Rattus norvegicus: one gene and its partner. The protein of the gene in region 2 interacts with the protein of the main gene of each other region in a pairwise test. Links are inferred from orthologs where the notes say so. Each region holds a gene or a part of one and is shown on either strand. Other genes may lie near its edges.

Region 1 (7,650 bases), on a different chromosome or scaffold from region 2:
TAACACTTTGGAGAACTACCTAGAAGGAAATGGCTGAAGGGTTTGGTTGTCGTTTTTTTGTTTTGTTTGAGACGGGTCCTGGAACTCAGGCGGGCCTTGGACTCACACGAGAGCCACCTGCCCCTGCCTCTCGAGTGCTAGGATCAAAGGTGTGCATCACCACCAAGGGCAGCTGCTAAAATTTAAATGTAAGCAACCATTAGGAGGGTATGAGGGGGCGGGTACTAGGGAGCCAGGCAGTGACTGGGCTTCAGTCCTTCCAAGCCCCATGGGGGCCCTGGATAGGCAGCTGGATCTCTCAGCTATCAGGGTGAAGTCAGCAGGTTTCCTATCTATCTGCTGCCCCCCCTTCACACTTTCCTCTTCGGTTCTTACTTAAAAAGAGTTAGAGACAGAGACCCACACAAGGGGGGTGGCGCTAGAAGGACCAGGAAGAGGAGGCTGTTTGTGTCCCGCAACGGAGATTACAAGCCACCAGCCCATTGTTCTTGTTTTCAGCATCGTTATCAATCAACAAAGGCACAAAAAGAAAACGTCTACATCTGAAGCCTGACCACCTAAAAACAGACCCGAATATTTCCTGTTCTTTCAGCAAATCGGAAGATGCCCTCCGTTCCTTATCTACACCGTGCCTTATTCACTGATATGGGACCACTTTCTGTCCCTGCGTGGGGAGCTCACAGAGCCGATGGAAGAGGCTGCTTCCTGGGATGCTAGAAGCTTCTCCTCACCTTACCCTTTGCTAAAATAACAACAGAGACAGTGTTTTGGTTTGCTCTGTTTTGATGTAAGCTTTCTACACAACTTCCCACGGCTAAGCAGGAAAAACCATCACTCCTGAAGTTAATGGCCCTTTAACGTCTGGGCCTCCGTTCGTCTGTTTTGTTTTGTTTTGTTTTGTTTTAAACCTATCTGACTATTCTTTCTTGACTCAAGAAGTAATACATGACCTTTGCACAATTTAACCAATTGAAGATAAATGTAATAAAAATCACGAACCCCTACACGTCTCTCTGTCCTTAAAAGGAAACTGTTGGGGTTGGGGATTTAGCTCAGTGGTAGAGCGCTTGCCTAACGAGCGCAAGGCCCTGGGTTCGGTCCCCAGCTCCGAAAAAAAGAAAAAAAAAGAAAAGAAAAAAAAAAAACAAAGGAAACTGTTGAGAGCGTGGGACACTTCTGAGGCTTACATAAATCTATATGGTGTGTGGAACTTTTTTATTTTGGCCTTTTGTTTTGAAATAGAAATGGGCCATTATATGTACTACTGTGTATTTTGCCTCTTTCGGCCTAAAAACATGCCATGGACACTTTGTAAGCCAAGATAGACAGATGTCAGACAGACACACAGATCTCCTGCGTTCTTTTTTTTTTTTTTTTTTTTTTGGTTCTTTTTTTTTGGAGCTGGGGACCGAACCCAGGGCCTTGCGCTTCCTAGGCAAGCGCTCTACCACTGAGCTAAATCCCCAACCCCTCTCCTGCGTTCTTTACATAAACTAAGATGGATATCCCATGATCCAATTGACCATCACCCGCTTTTCCCACCTCATGGACATCTGGGATACACTTATATAAACATATATATTCCTGGTCTTTAATTTCTATAACATGTTCCTAGAAGTGGGACTTCCATGTCAAATGAGACTCCTCAAATGTTGAAATCTTTATACTTAAAATTAATTCCAGACCCTCATTATTGCAAAAATCTCGGTATGAACCTGGCACAGTATTGTGCATATTTTATTTTTTTAAAGCACAAACACTATATCAAAAAGTGTCCCTGTCATTTTATGCTTCTATTGTTACAAATAGATAAATGTTTAAGTTATGGCTGTGATGGCCAGCATTAAATCACTGTGCAAATGCTTATGACTTGGTTTATGAAAGCAGTAATTCATTGTGGAAACTCCAGCCCCATGCTGTGCGGTAGCAACAGTCACAACTCTCACATCCTGTGACTCCCTCCCACCGAGCGACTACACAGAGATCAAGGACCTATGTTTTTCCTAATTCTTAACAGTGAACCACAGACAACAAACCGACGGCCATTTTGGATTCCTAATACTCAAAATTTGTAACAGTGAATCATTTTGCTGGTTTACACTAGAGAACACATTCCATTAAAAATAAAAACCTATAACCAATAGGTTGCTCTCATCACACAAATCTTTCGAGAACATACTTTTAAATCACTCTTCAATAGAATCGTTGGTTATATCCCACTTCACATCTCCCCCACTTCAGATCCAAGAGCACAATTACAAACTTAAAGGGGAGGGGTGACTTTAAAGAAATCATTAGCCAGCGAAGCTCCTCACAATGTAACCTCAGACTCCCCTATATCTTCTGAAGACCGGAGCACTATCAGAGATTGTTAAGACACAGCAAGTTTGATACAGAAATATGTGACATGCAATTAATCTCCATTCATAGCCGGCTCTGCCTGTCAGCAAACAAAGGTTCTGCTTTAGAAGGAGATCTGAAGACTTCAATTAAAAACAGTCGGCTAACAAGAAAATAATCTGAGCTAAGGGAAGGTGGCAGGTGCAAAAATGAGTTGTTTACCAAAGTGTCAGTTTTGAACAATAAGGAACTGCATGTCAAAAACATCGAAGCAGGGGAGGGATCGTGTCGCACTCGAGCCTCCAAAAAGAAGAGGGGCTTTCTATCGATGCTGTGCACCAAACTGAGGTATCATTTAATAAGCTTGTAAAATGGGTTTCTTCTCATAAAATAACTGACACCAACAGAGAGAGAGAGATACTCCGGCTTTAAATACAACTTGTGGCTGCAGTTCCTTCCCTAAAACCCAAGACAACCACAGCCTTCCTTTATGTATCTACTACCAAACTAGCGCTGGTTAAATCTCTTTAGGTGTCTGGTGACTTCTATCTTCCAAATAACTTGTTATTTCTACAGTTCCTTGGTTTACACACTGAGTGGACTTTAGGTAATTTAGAGAATGTAGCTCAGTGGTAGGACATCTAACGATCACGCATATGGTCCTAGATTCAATCCCCTAAGCACAAGGGAGGGCGGTGGTGGGTAAAAGTGCTTAGCACCAAGCCTGAAGACCTGAGTTTGATCCCCATCACTGGAGGATAGAAGATGAGACCCAATTCTCAACAGCTGCCATCTGAACTCCACAAACCCGCTGTGGCCATGCACACCCCACACCCACACACTCCAAAAGTAAGTAAACAAAACGCTTTTCTAAGAATACATTTTTTGAAACATCACCTCAAAAGAAACACCTAGCTTCCAGCTCTTACAGAGAAGCAATCCAGAATAGAAACAGTGCCGCAGACAGAATCCAAATGCACTGGCCAAATCCTTGATTAGAAGGCATTTATACCAAGATAACAAGGTAATGGAGATATGAAACCAATTAAATGGAGAGAAACTGGAAAGAATACAGCTTGCCAAAATCATGACCTGCCCAAGGCAGGCCATCTGTTAACTATGTGTCAGATATGTCGCCTGGATGCCAAAAGGCTTAATTCTGAGCAGTTTCCTCTTGAGACCCTTACGCAACTGCAGATTCCAGACCTCTGTCCTTCCAGGAAGGTCAGTCATAGGAGTAAAATGAATTTTCACCTTGTGAGCCAAGCACAAGATACTGTCCATCAGGAAAGTTCTTTGGAGTATCAGGAATGTATGCTAAGTGTTGCAAAGTGTGACTTTAACTCTAAAAGACTTTTTTGAAGGTGAAGCCATCACAACGTGACACTTCAGGAAGGTTAGGAACGTCATACTCTGAGGCTTCCCTTGGATAGATGACAGCACCCCCCTCCCCCACCAGTCTTCAGAATAGTAAAGGACTCCTTGGCTTACCACACTTATAAGAAGTCCTGGGGCTGGGAATTTAGCTCAGTAGTAGAGCGCTTGCCTAGGAAGCACAAGACCCTGGGTTCAGTCCCCAGCTCCGAAAAAAAGAACCAAAAAAAAAAAAAAAAAAAAAAGAAGTCCTCTAACCACCAGGCTTGGCCCAAAGACCCATATATCTCCACAGATCCCTTCTGTGTGTCGTGGGTCTTCCGCGAGGTGAGGAGTCAGGACTGGGGAGGGTAAGAACTAACCTGCTACAGACCTCAGGGATTTCCCAGGAGACAGGTTCAAGACCAAGCAAGGTGTCAGGGGAGGCCATGAACTGGCCTGCAAGACCCCAGAAACCTAGAAGTGATATAGATGCCTAGAAGGGACGGAAAATGTGTAACTCAAGGGAGATGTGGGGACCCTGAGGTGGGACAATGGGCAATAGGCTGGCTTTGGGGACAAGAGGAGGATTGAGGACTCTGGGAGCCTGGAACTTATATTATAGGGCTGTAGGGCTGATGCCTTGGTGTCTCCTTTCTTGCCTTCAGCCCAGCACTGAAAGGCCCTCCCAGAGGGGAGGGTCAGGACAGAGGTCTGGCACTGAGCCAGGAGTTACCTTCCAGGAGCCAACAGATCTCCTCCGGGAGGGCGATGGCCTGCATTTGGCACGGCGAGAGGGTGGCCACAGCAGAAGGAGGGACAAGGGACACGAGGCCTGTTTTGACGGCGGCAGGCAGAAGGAGGCGAGCTGCACCCCGGGCACCTGTACCTCGGCTGCACTTGGGGCCCCGCGCCGGGCGGGGCCGCCGGCCGCGCGCTCAGGAAGCGGCGCGCGCAGCGGGCGGCGGGAGCGGGACCCGGGGCGCAGGTGCACTGATGGCACCAAGGTGGCATGCAAGGTCAAAGGCGTGGCCCTTTGAGCCCCGCACCAAAAGATTGCTAGACTCCGAAGAGCTTTAGAGGCTAAATCTTGGCGGAAACATCTAAGCCCTGAGCAATTTGACCTTGGGGCGGTAGGTTTAAAAGGCCATGGTTGTTCCTGAACTGGGGGGCAGAGGCAGAATCCAAGAAAGGACTTGGTCCTATCCAGCTCACCGTCGGGGAAAGCCTTGCTGGTTAAAAATTAAAATCTGGAGTCCCAGCGACAATATAGATTCTCAACATTTGAGAGACTCAGCATCAGATGCAATGCACAGAGAGAGACGGAGGGAATGTCCTCTCTGGAGGTGAAAGGCTGTGGGAAGGTGGGAAACAGCTCTTTCTCGGAGCACAGGAAGGAAGAAAGTGCTCGACAAGATCACAGGGCTATACCCTTTCCCCCTCAAAGTACAGCCAGTCAGTGCCCAAGTTTGGGTTGTAGTAAGTACACCACGAACTTGGGCGGTGGTACGTGGAATCCTTTGTTATTTTTGTCAACCACTTGTCAACGGGGCCGTGAAGAACCGAGAGCAGCGGCATGGATGAAATAAGAAAGAGCATGAACACAAGGGAAGGATGGGAGCACCCGTGGGTGCGCAGGTACTTAAAGGGGAGCTAAATACCAGACCGGGTTTTAAAAGGGTGGGAAGACTTCGTAGATGGAAAATGATCTATAATTATGTGGCCTCTGCATCTCTTCACCTCTACCAACTCTCTCTCTCTCTCTCTCTCTCTCTCTCTCTCTCTCTCTCTCTCTCTCTCTCTCTCTCCTGGATTCTATTCTAAGGATAGGTAGGAAGGACTCGGAGCACATGACAGGAGGGAGGCAAACGATTTGTTTATTATGTAGAAGAAGGCAGAGCAAAGAGAAGAGGCCGTTCAGAAGGGCCCAAGGCAGACGGATGGATCTCCTGGAATAGGTGCGTGCACACAACCCATGAAGCTGTGGCCTCAAGGTTAGGGGCCCTCCCTTTTAAGGGTTTCAGTGGCGTTTATCATATCCCGACACCCGAGAAGGAATGGTCTTGGTTTCAGGACCTCATGACACACATATAAATTGCAACAAGTTGATCTGAAGGGATAGAACCTGTCAGGGGTCGCCAGGGAATCCGACTCCATGGTGCTGCTTGTTCCTTACTGGGTGAATCTATAGGGATGGGCTTGGGCTGCCTCTTCCAGGCTCTGGATGGGTGTAGGCTGCCTCCGGGGACATTTTTCCCTACCTTGCTGTCCCCCTGATAAAACCGAAGCTGCTTGAGAATCACTTGGGGTGCATGCATGTTTAAACATGGAGGCCATGTGGGTCTGACACTCTCTTCTTTTTGTAAACATAAAACCGTTCTTCCAAAGGGGAGGGTATAAGCTTCCCTCTATAGTGCACAAACTTCCTCCATTTCTCTTCTAGCAATGGGGATAAAAAAGGACAGCCCCTCCCTCTTTCTTCAGTAAAAGGCAGAAGGTTTCTAGGTTCTGAGGAGAGCCCAGAGTGCCCCACCCTCGTATTTAAGGTCAGCATGGTCACATAGGGTAGGTGCTCAGGAGTTGTTTGACAAAGGGCAGAACCCCAGGCTTCCTGCCACCTAGGGAGAAGCGAAACTGCACCGGGTAGACACACTTCTTGCATTTCTTCCCCTGTGGATGCCTGGGATGGGAGAGATGGAGGTAGAGGGAGGTGTAAGTCAGGTGATGTGTGCTGGTGACTGGCAGTTTCCAATACGCTATTGTCATGTTGCATCAAGGTTCCTCGTTGCAGACAGAAGCCTGCCTCCACACATGAGTGCTGCCCCTCCTTAATCATCTGAGGACCCCGGTTCAGCAGTCAGCCTCACTCCTAATGACATTCTGTTAAATGGACAAATTCCTTTGAAGCCCTGTCCTCCTTTGAAATCCAATTTCGCAGGAAGCCAAATCTGATTGGGGGTAGCCATGGAAACGACATGGAGGAGTCTTGCAGGAGGTGGAGAGAGGCAAAGCAAAAAAAAAAAAAAAAAAAAAAAAAAAAAAAAAAAAAAAAAGAAAAAAAAGGTGATAGTCAAGAGTCCTTTACTGCTCTGTCGGAAATATCAAAGAGATCTAGAGAGGTTGCCAGCGAGTCCCTGCCCAGGTCCTGTTCTGTGTGGCTGGGTACCTACCATGTGGCTGTCATGGAAGAAAGCAGCCAGCTGTCTCCACACACAGGCAGCGGTCCAGATCTGTCTGCCTTCCCCCTCCTCCCTCCCCCACCCCAATCCCAACATCTTCCCCTTCTAGCCATCACCCCTTAAAGGCAAACAACAAAAGAATGACAAGGTGAAAAAAAAAATACAAGGCCCCCGCAGATAAGAGGTCCTAGGGAACAGAGGCCGTGAAATTAATCTAAAATTCCTTGTAATTAGATAAGATAAGGGTATCTAGAGAGAGCAGAACAGTCAGAAATGGAGTCCAGCCACACAGCATGCAGAATACGCATGCCCTGTCCACTGAGACTCCTCACATGCTGTCAGCAGACAGAAGATGCAGAGAATGGAAGCCGTGTTGGCCTCTGGGCTACTTGAAGATGCTGTCTGCACGTCCTCTTGCCAGGTGGGCGCTTAGTATTCATCCATGGGGCGTCCAAAGGGCTCAATCAGGGAGAAACAAGAACATCTGGCACCTAAAACGCCATGGTGTCGGTAACAATCACAAGCAAAGCCGGAGCCGGCTGGCACTGCCCCACGCTGGGCTTGGTGGGTCTTGGGAGGAGACTGCAGGGCAGCATCTGAGGCTTTATCCTCAGCCTGCTATCGATCCCCAAACACTGGGTCATGACACATGGCAGAGCTGACGTCTGCCCTGTGGATGTGCCGAAGCCACATCTCAACCTTTCCATCCCAGCCGCATCAACCAGGTTTATTGACTCTTTTATTGACAGTGCTGGGGCTTAATGAGGACAAGAGTTGC
Region 2 (5,734 bases):
TTCCTTACTTGAACCCTGCACCCTTTGGCCTGAGTCCCCCGAGACTGCGCCCATTCCTGGCTGCCACTCCAGGGCCACCGACATCCAGCACTGCCATCTGGAAGAAGAGTCAAGGTGAGTATAGGAGCAGGTTGCCTACAAAGCTGATTGAGCCTACTTTTATTCTGAACTTGAACTGCTTCTTTCCTACAGGTGCTACCAGTAGTCCTAGAAGACCTCAGGGCGGCTCCGATGCGCCCTCAGGTGCGTGCAGGTGACCACCAGGGACGGGTGGAGGGGCCCTTCATTCCTGTGCCCTAAGTGGGCCCTGTGAATGCTGGAAAGCAGCGGTGACTGTCCCTTAAAATACATGATTTTTGCCTTTCAAATGACTGGTATCTATGCCTTCATCTGGTATCTGTGCCAGTGTTCCTGTGTAAACATTTGTGTCTTGTTCTGTCTCTGAGTGGTTTTCTTCTATGGTGGGTCCAGGGATGGGAGGCAAATGTGGTACCTGCTGTGATGGGTAGTCAAGCCCAGGGAAAAGTCTAATCTGTCCTGGTTGACATCTACCATCCATGGTTGAAAGGCTCTCTGGAGGGAGACCCAGGACTCAGAGGCCTGCCTGCCTGCCTGCCTGCCTGCCTGCCTGCCTGCCTGCCTGCCTGTCTGCCTGCCTGCAGGGTACATGGCCCCCAGCCACATTGTGTGCGAACACATAGATGGCTGATATTCGTGTATACAGTGTGACTTCTTCACAGTCTCTCAGTCTGCCATTATACTGCACCTGCAGGACCACCACCCTGGCTACCCCACAGCCTGAAACCTGGGTTCCTTGGTTCCAACACCCAGTTGGGTAAGGCTGAGGAATGTTCAGGCACAGGACTAGAGGCAAGGGATGAGGCACAGGCTCAGGTGACCCCTCCTCAACTCTACACAAGACCCAACCCTGTTTGCTATTGAGGTGTCACAGTGGTCAGAGGGGGAGAATCCAGTTTTATCACAGCTTTGAACCAGCTCTGCTGGGCTAAGTTGTAGGGGATACAGAGATTTTTGTAATTTGAGGAAGAAGGGGACAATAAAGGAGGCACGTTGAGCCAGTGTGTGCTGTGTCTTGGGTCCCTTGCCCCTCAGATTTTTTTTTTAATGTCTTTATTTTATTTTATTTTATTTTTTTGGTTCTTTTTTTCGGAGCTGGGGACCGAACCCAGGGCCTTGTGCTTCCTAGGCAAGCGCTCTACCACTGAGCTAAATCCCCAACCCCAAAAAGTTGTATTTATTTATTCTATATAAGTACACTGTAGCTGTCTTCAGACACACCAGAAGAGGGGAAGAGGGCATCAGATCCCATTACAGATGGTTGTGAGCCACCATGTGGTTGCTGGGAATTGAACTCAAGACCTCTGGAAGAGCAGTCAGTGCTCTTAACCGCTGAGCCATCTCTCCAGCCCATGTCTTTATTTTTTTAAGAGAGAGTGCAAGTGATATGTGTACAGAAGTGTAATGCTTGTGAAGGCCAAAAGAGGGTATAGGATCCCTAAGCATTTGTGAGCTGCCAGCGTGGGTGCTGGGAACCACACTTGCATCTTCTGTAAGAGCAATATGAGAGTGAACTTTCTGTTAGTGTCACAGTTAATCTTTTTTTTTTTTCATTTATTTCAGAGTTAACGCTTATCTGCTGAGCCCTCTTCTACAGCCCCCCCCCCCCCCCAAATAAGCACTAGGCTGCTACCTATGGGACTAGGGTGCTCACACACCTTGGGAGGGGGACTTAAAATTGGCTTCACAGAATCTGACTCTCATCAGAACTCCTATTTTCCTGGCATCTCAGCTGTGGAATCCAGATCTGCAGCTCACTGCCCACCCTAGGAGTAGTCAGTGCCCACTGTTCTGTTCTACAACTTCCAGAACCAGATAGGTTTGTTATTTTCCCAGATGGTTTTCCTTTATTAAAAACCCAGGCATAGTGACACATGCCTTTAATCCCAGCACTTGGGAGGCAGAGGTAAGTGGATCTGAGTTCATAGGCAGCCTGTTCTACAGAGCTAGTTCTAGGACAGTCAGGGCTACACAGAGAAACCCTGTCTTGAAAAATAACAAAAAAGAAATATGGGGGTTGGGGATTTAGCTCAGTGGTAGAGCACTTGCCTAGCAAGCGCAAGGCCCTGGGTTCAGTCCCCAGCTCCGGAAAAAAAAAAAAAAAAGAAATATGGCTTACCATGCTCAAGTGCTTGCCCATGCAACCCTGATGGCCTGTTTGAGTGGGGTAGAAAAAAAAGAAAATCAAGTAGCCAAAATTGTCCTTTCATATATTAAGCCCTGAGCTTAAAGCATGGTGGCACACATCTTTAATCCCAGCACTTGGCAGGCAGAGTCAGGCAGATCTCTGTAAATTCAAGGCCTGATCTAAGTGACAAGGTCCAGGCAGGACACATAGTGAACAATGTCTCAAAAAAATGAGGGGGAAAAAAGCCCCATGGTATGGTAGCACATGGCACATCCAAGCTCTTGGAAAACAGAGAAGGATCATTCTTTTTAAGTTCATACCAACTTAGACTACAAAGCAACACTGTCTCAAGAAATTTTGTTTTTAAGTATCAAGAATTAGGAAGGCAATGTGGAAATCTAGGTCTGAGTAAACCCTGCTCCTGAGGCCAGTGGGTTCACAGAGATGAAAGCCTTGGGTAGCTATAGTTGAGTTGGGTAGGTCAAGATGGAGAACTGAACTTTATCAGCATCTTCCTTGCAATCAGCAGACCTTCTGTTGCTGCTGGCATCTACCCCAACCTGTATTCTGGAGAGTTCGGGGTCCATTTGAAAATGCACTATGGATGGGGATGTAGCTCAGTATAGTACTTGCCTAGCATGCACAAAGCCTTGGGTTCTTTCTATCAACACCACATAACTAGGCTTGCTAATAAGTGCTTAAGTTCCAGAACTAGGAGGAGGTGGGTGTTAGCACTCTCTAAGTTCCACCCCTACAGTTAACCTGGCAACAGCCAGGCATGCCTGACACTATGAAAAGGGCTGCTTGCCCCTTCCTCTCTTCCTCATGCTCTCTTGTTCTTACCCCTCCCCCTTCTCTCCACGTGCTCATGGCCGTCCTCTACTCTTCCTCTACTCTTCTATTTCTCTACTTCTCTCTCTGCCCTACTACCCTCTTAATTTCCCTCCCCATGCTGGCTGGTCCCTCAGAGGGAAGGGATGTCTCAGCATGGGCCTGCTGAGGCACCCCCTTCCCCCAGACCCCCCCTAGAACATAATCCCCACCCTCTCCTTTATCTTTTATAAAACACATTGGTAGGGCTGGAGAGATGGCTTAGAGGTTAAGAGCACTGTCTGCTCTTCCAGAGGTCCTGAGTTCAATTCCCAGCAACCACATGGTGGCTCACAACCACCTATAATCAGGTCTGGTGCCCTCTTCTGGCCTGTAGTTGCATACATGCAGGCAGAAAGCTGTATGATGTATACATTAAAAAAAAAAAAAAAAAAAAAAAAAAAAAAAAAAAAACATTGGTGCTGAAACCCAGGACATATCCTTATCTTTTAATAAACACATCAGTGGGAGTGTGGACTCTGGAGGATTGGGGGTTCAAGGTCATCCTGGCTAGATATGGTATATGTCTATACCCACCACTAATCCCCCTGTCATATATATCCACAAAGAAAACATGGTGCCTTACTTCTGTTCCAGTCCAAAGCCAGGCTGGCCATGCCTCTTGGAAATAGAAGTCCAGTGTGTTGTTCTTCCATTACTTAGAGGTTGGTTCTAACCTCTGTCTAGCTAGGGTAATCCCCTCCTATCCCAAAGAGCCTTTCACTAGTGCTCCTTAGTATCCCTCATAAGTCTCTGGATAAAGACTCCTTGGGCTGGAGAGATGGTGTAGTAGGTACAAACAGGATCTGAGTTTAGATTCCCAGTACCTATTTTAACACGATACGGTAGTACATGTCTGTAACCCAGTACTGGTGGTTGGAGCAGGAGGGAGGGTTCGGGGACAGTCATTCTGGAGGCTTGATGGCCAGCCAGTCTAACCAAAACAGCGAGTTAAAGGTTCCATTGAAAGACCTTGTCTTGGGGTTGGGGATTTAGCTCAGCGGTAGAGCGCTTGCCTAGCGAGCGCAAGGCCCTGGGTTCGGTCCCCAGCTCCGAAAAAAAGAAGAAGAAGAAAAAAAAAAAACCTTGTCTCAAAGTGCCTGAGGAAGGCATTCTAATATTAACTTCTGTCTGGTCTCCACATGTGCTGGCATGGTTGCCTGTACCCCACATGCACAATACATATACAAACACAGATCCTGTTCTAGTAGCCCACAAGGCTCCTCCTTAAACTTCCCCATCTTCTTCCATGGCCATACTCTTCATACCTGCTGCTTCTGGGAAATGTAAAAATCTGGAAAAGAAAACCTCAAAGACCTCCTTGGTACCACCCATTTGTCTCACTCACCACTTCCTTGTATCCTAACTTTAAATCAGAATTACCCTCTATCACCTCTTTGTCCTAGTATCTGCAGCCAAAAGGTGACATTACTCACCTGGTAAGCTAGGTCCTCCAGAGCCTACATCTGTCACAGCCCTCCTATCTTTTTATCTTCACTGTTTGTAGGATCCAGAGAATGATTTACACAGTCATATTTGGTTTTGAATGAGTTTATTAAGCCAAAGTAAAATAATAAATAGCAAGTGATTAGTGGGGAGGGGAAGGGAGGTAAGTGATAGATACCTAGGACTTCTTGGCTGGCCAATCTAGCAAAAAGTGAGCTTCAAGTTCTGAGACCTTGTCCCAAAAAATAAGTTGGAGAAGACATTGATGGCAACTTTTAGCCCCTGCAAACATAGGCACAGACTCATGCACCCACACAAAATAAGGTAGATGTCATTATGCTAGTACTTTGGGATCTTCTGGATGAAAAGGGTTGAGTGGGGAGAGTAGGGGATTTGGAAATGTCTTCTCAGTGGTTCCTGTCCCAGAAACTTAGCATTGAGGGTCAGATACCAGGGACAACCATTTCTACCCAAAGTACCTTTTATCCTTGCTGTTTTACACACGCCCAATCTTTGCTCTTCTGGGAAGCCTTGCAATCCCTATACCCACCCCCACTCATGCTTGTGCCACCCCACTCCCTGCTCCTGAACTCCCATAATCCCCAACCTCCTTCTCTTTAAACTGAACTCCCACATAGACAATGAAGTCTTCCTATTGCCCCAGCTTTCCAGCAGAGAACACCCAAGAGTGTCAGTGAAGGAAAAGCATCTGCTGGCAGGAGCTTGCACAGCTGCTCAGAGGCAAGGTTAACTAGAACAGATGGAATTCCTGGCGATTTGTTTGCAGGGTCAGGTTTCAGGCTACCTTTTGGCAATTATGCACTAACAGTTCTGTCACCTCAAGGATGCAGAATTGCTGATATTTATTCTGGCTAAGAGAGGTGGAGAGCACCAACAACCCCAGATGGATCACAGCTCATGTGTCTGGACCGCGTTCCTGCTCCCTCCTTCAAAGAACTCCCCAATCTACCACAATAATTTAGCCCTCGATCATTTTTTTTTTTTTTCAGTTTCTTTTTTTCCGGAGTTGGGGACAGAACCCAGGGCCTTGCGCTTGCTAGGCAAGCGCTCTACCACTGAGCTAAATCCCCAACCCCTTAGCCCTCGATCATTATAGGCTTCTAGTTCAGCCCTTCAGTTTGTGTTGGTCTTGATTGCCTACTGTGTGCTTTCCTTTCAGGCCAGCACAAAGATCAGAGGACAGCTGTGGGG

What was found.
Region 1: the proteins of Pram1 (region 2) and Skap1 interact in binary tests that used the Homo sapiens proteins (3 or more experiments, as listed by UniProt). The two-hybrid records come from large-scale screens. The link is inferred for Rattus norvegicus from reciprocal best matches to the Homo sapiens genes PRAM1 and SKAP1.

The regions. Positions count from the first base shown.
Region 1 is NC_086028.1:81,918,939-81,926,588, reverse strand, and holds the start of Skap1 (src kinase-associated phosphoprotein 1), read right to left. Parts: upstream 4,574-7,650; 5' UTR 4,476-4,573; coding exon 4,430-4,475; intron 1-4,429. UniProt on the Homo sapiens protein: Positively regulates T-cell receptor signaling by enhancing the MAP kinase pathway. Required for optimal conjugation between T-cells and antigen-presenting cells by promoting the clustering of integrin ITGAL on the surface of T-cells.
Region 2 is NC_086025.1:15,124,676-15,130,409, forward strand, and holds the start of Pram1 (PML-RARA-regulated adapter molecule 1), read left to right. Parts: upstream 1-1,137; 5' UTR 1,138-5,734. Other genes in the region: Zfp414 (zinc finger protein 414), read left to right, coding at 1-257. UniProt on the Homo sapiens protein: May be involved in myeloid differentiation. May be involved in integrin signaling in neutrophils. Binds to PtdIns(4)P.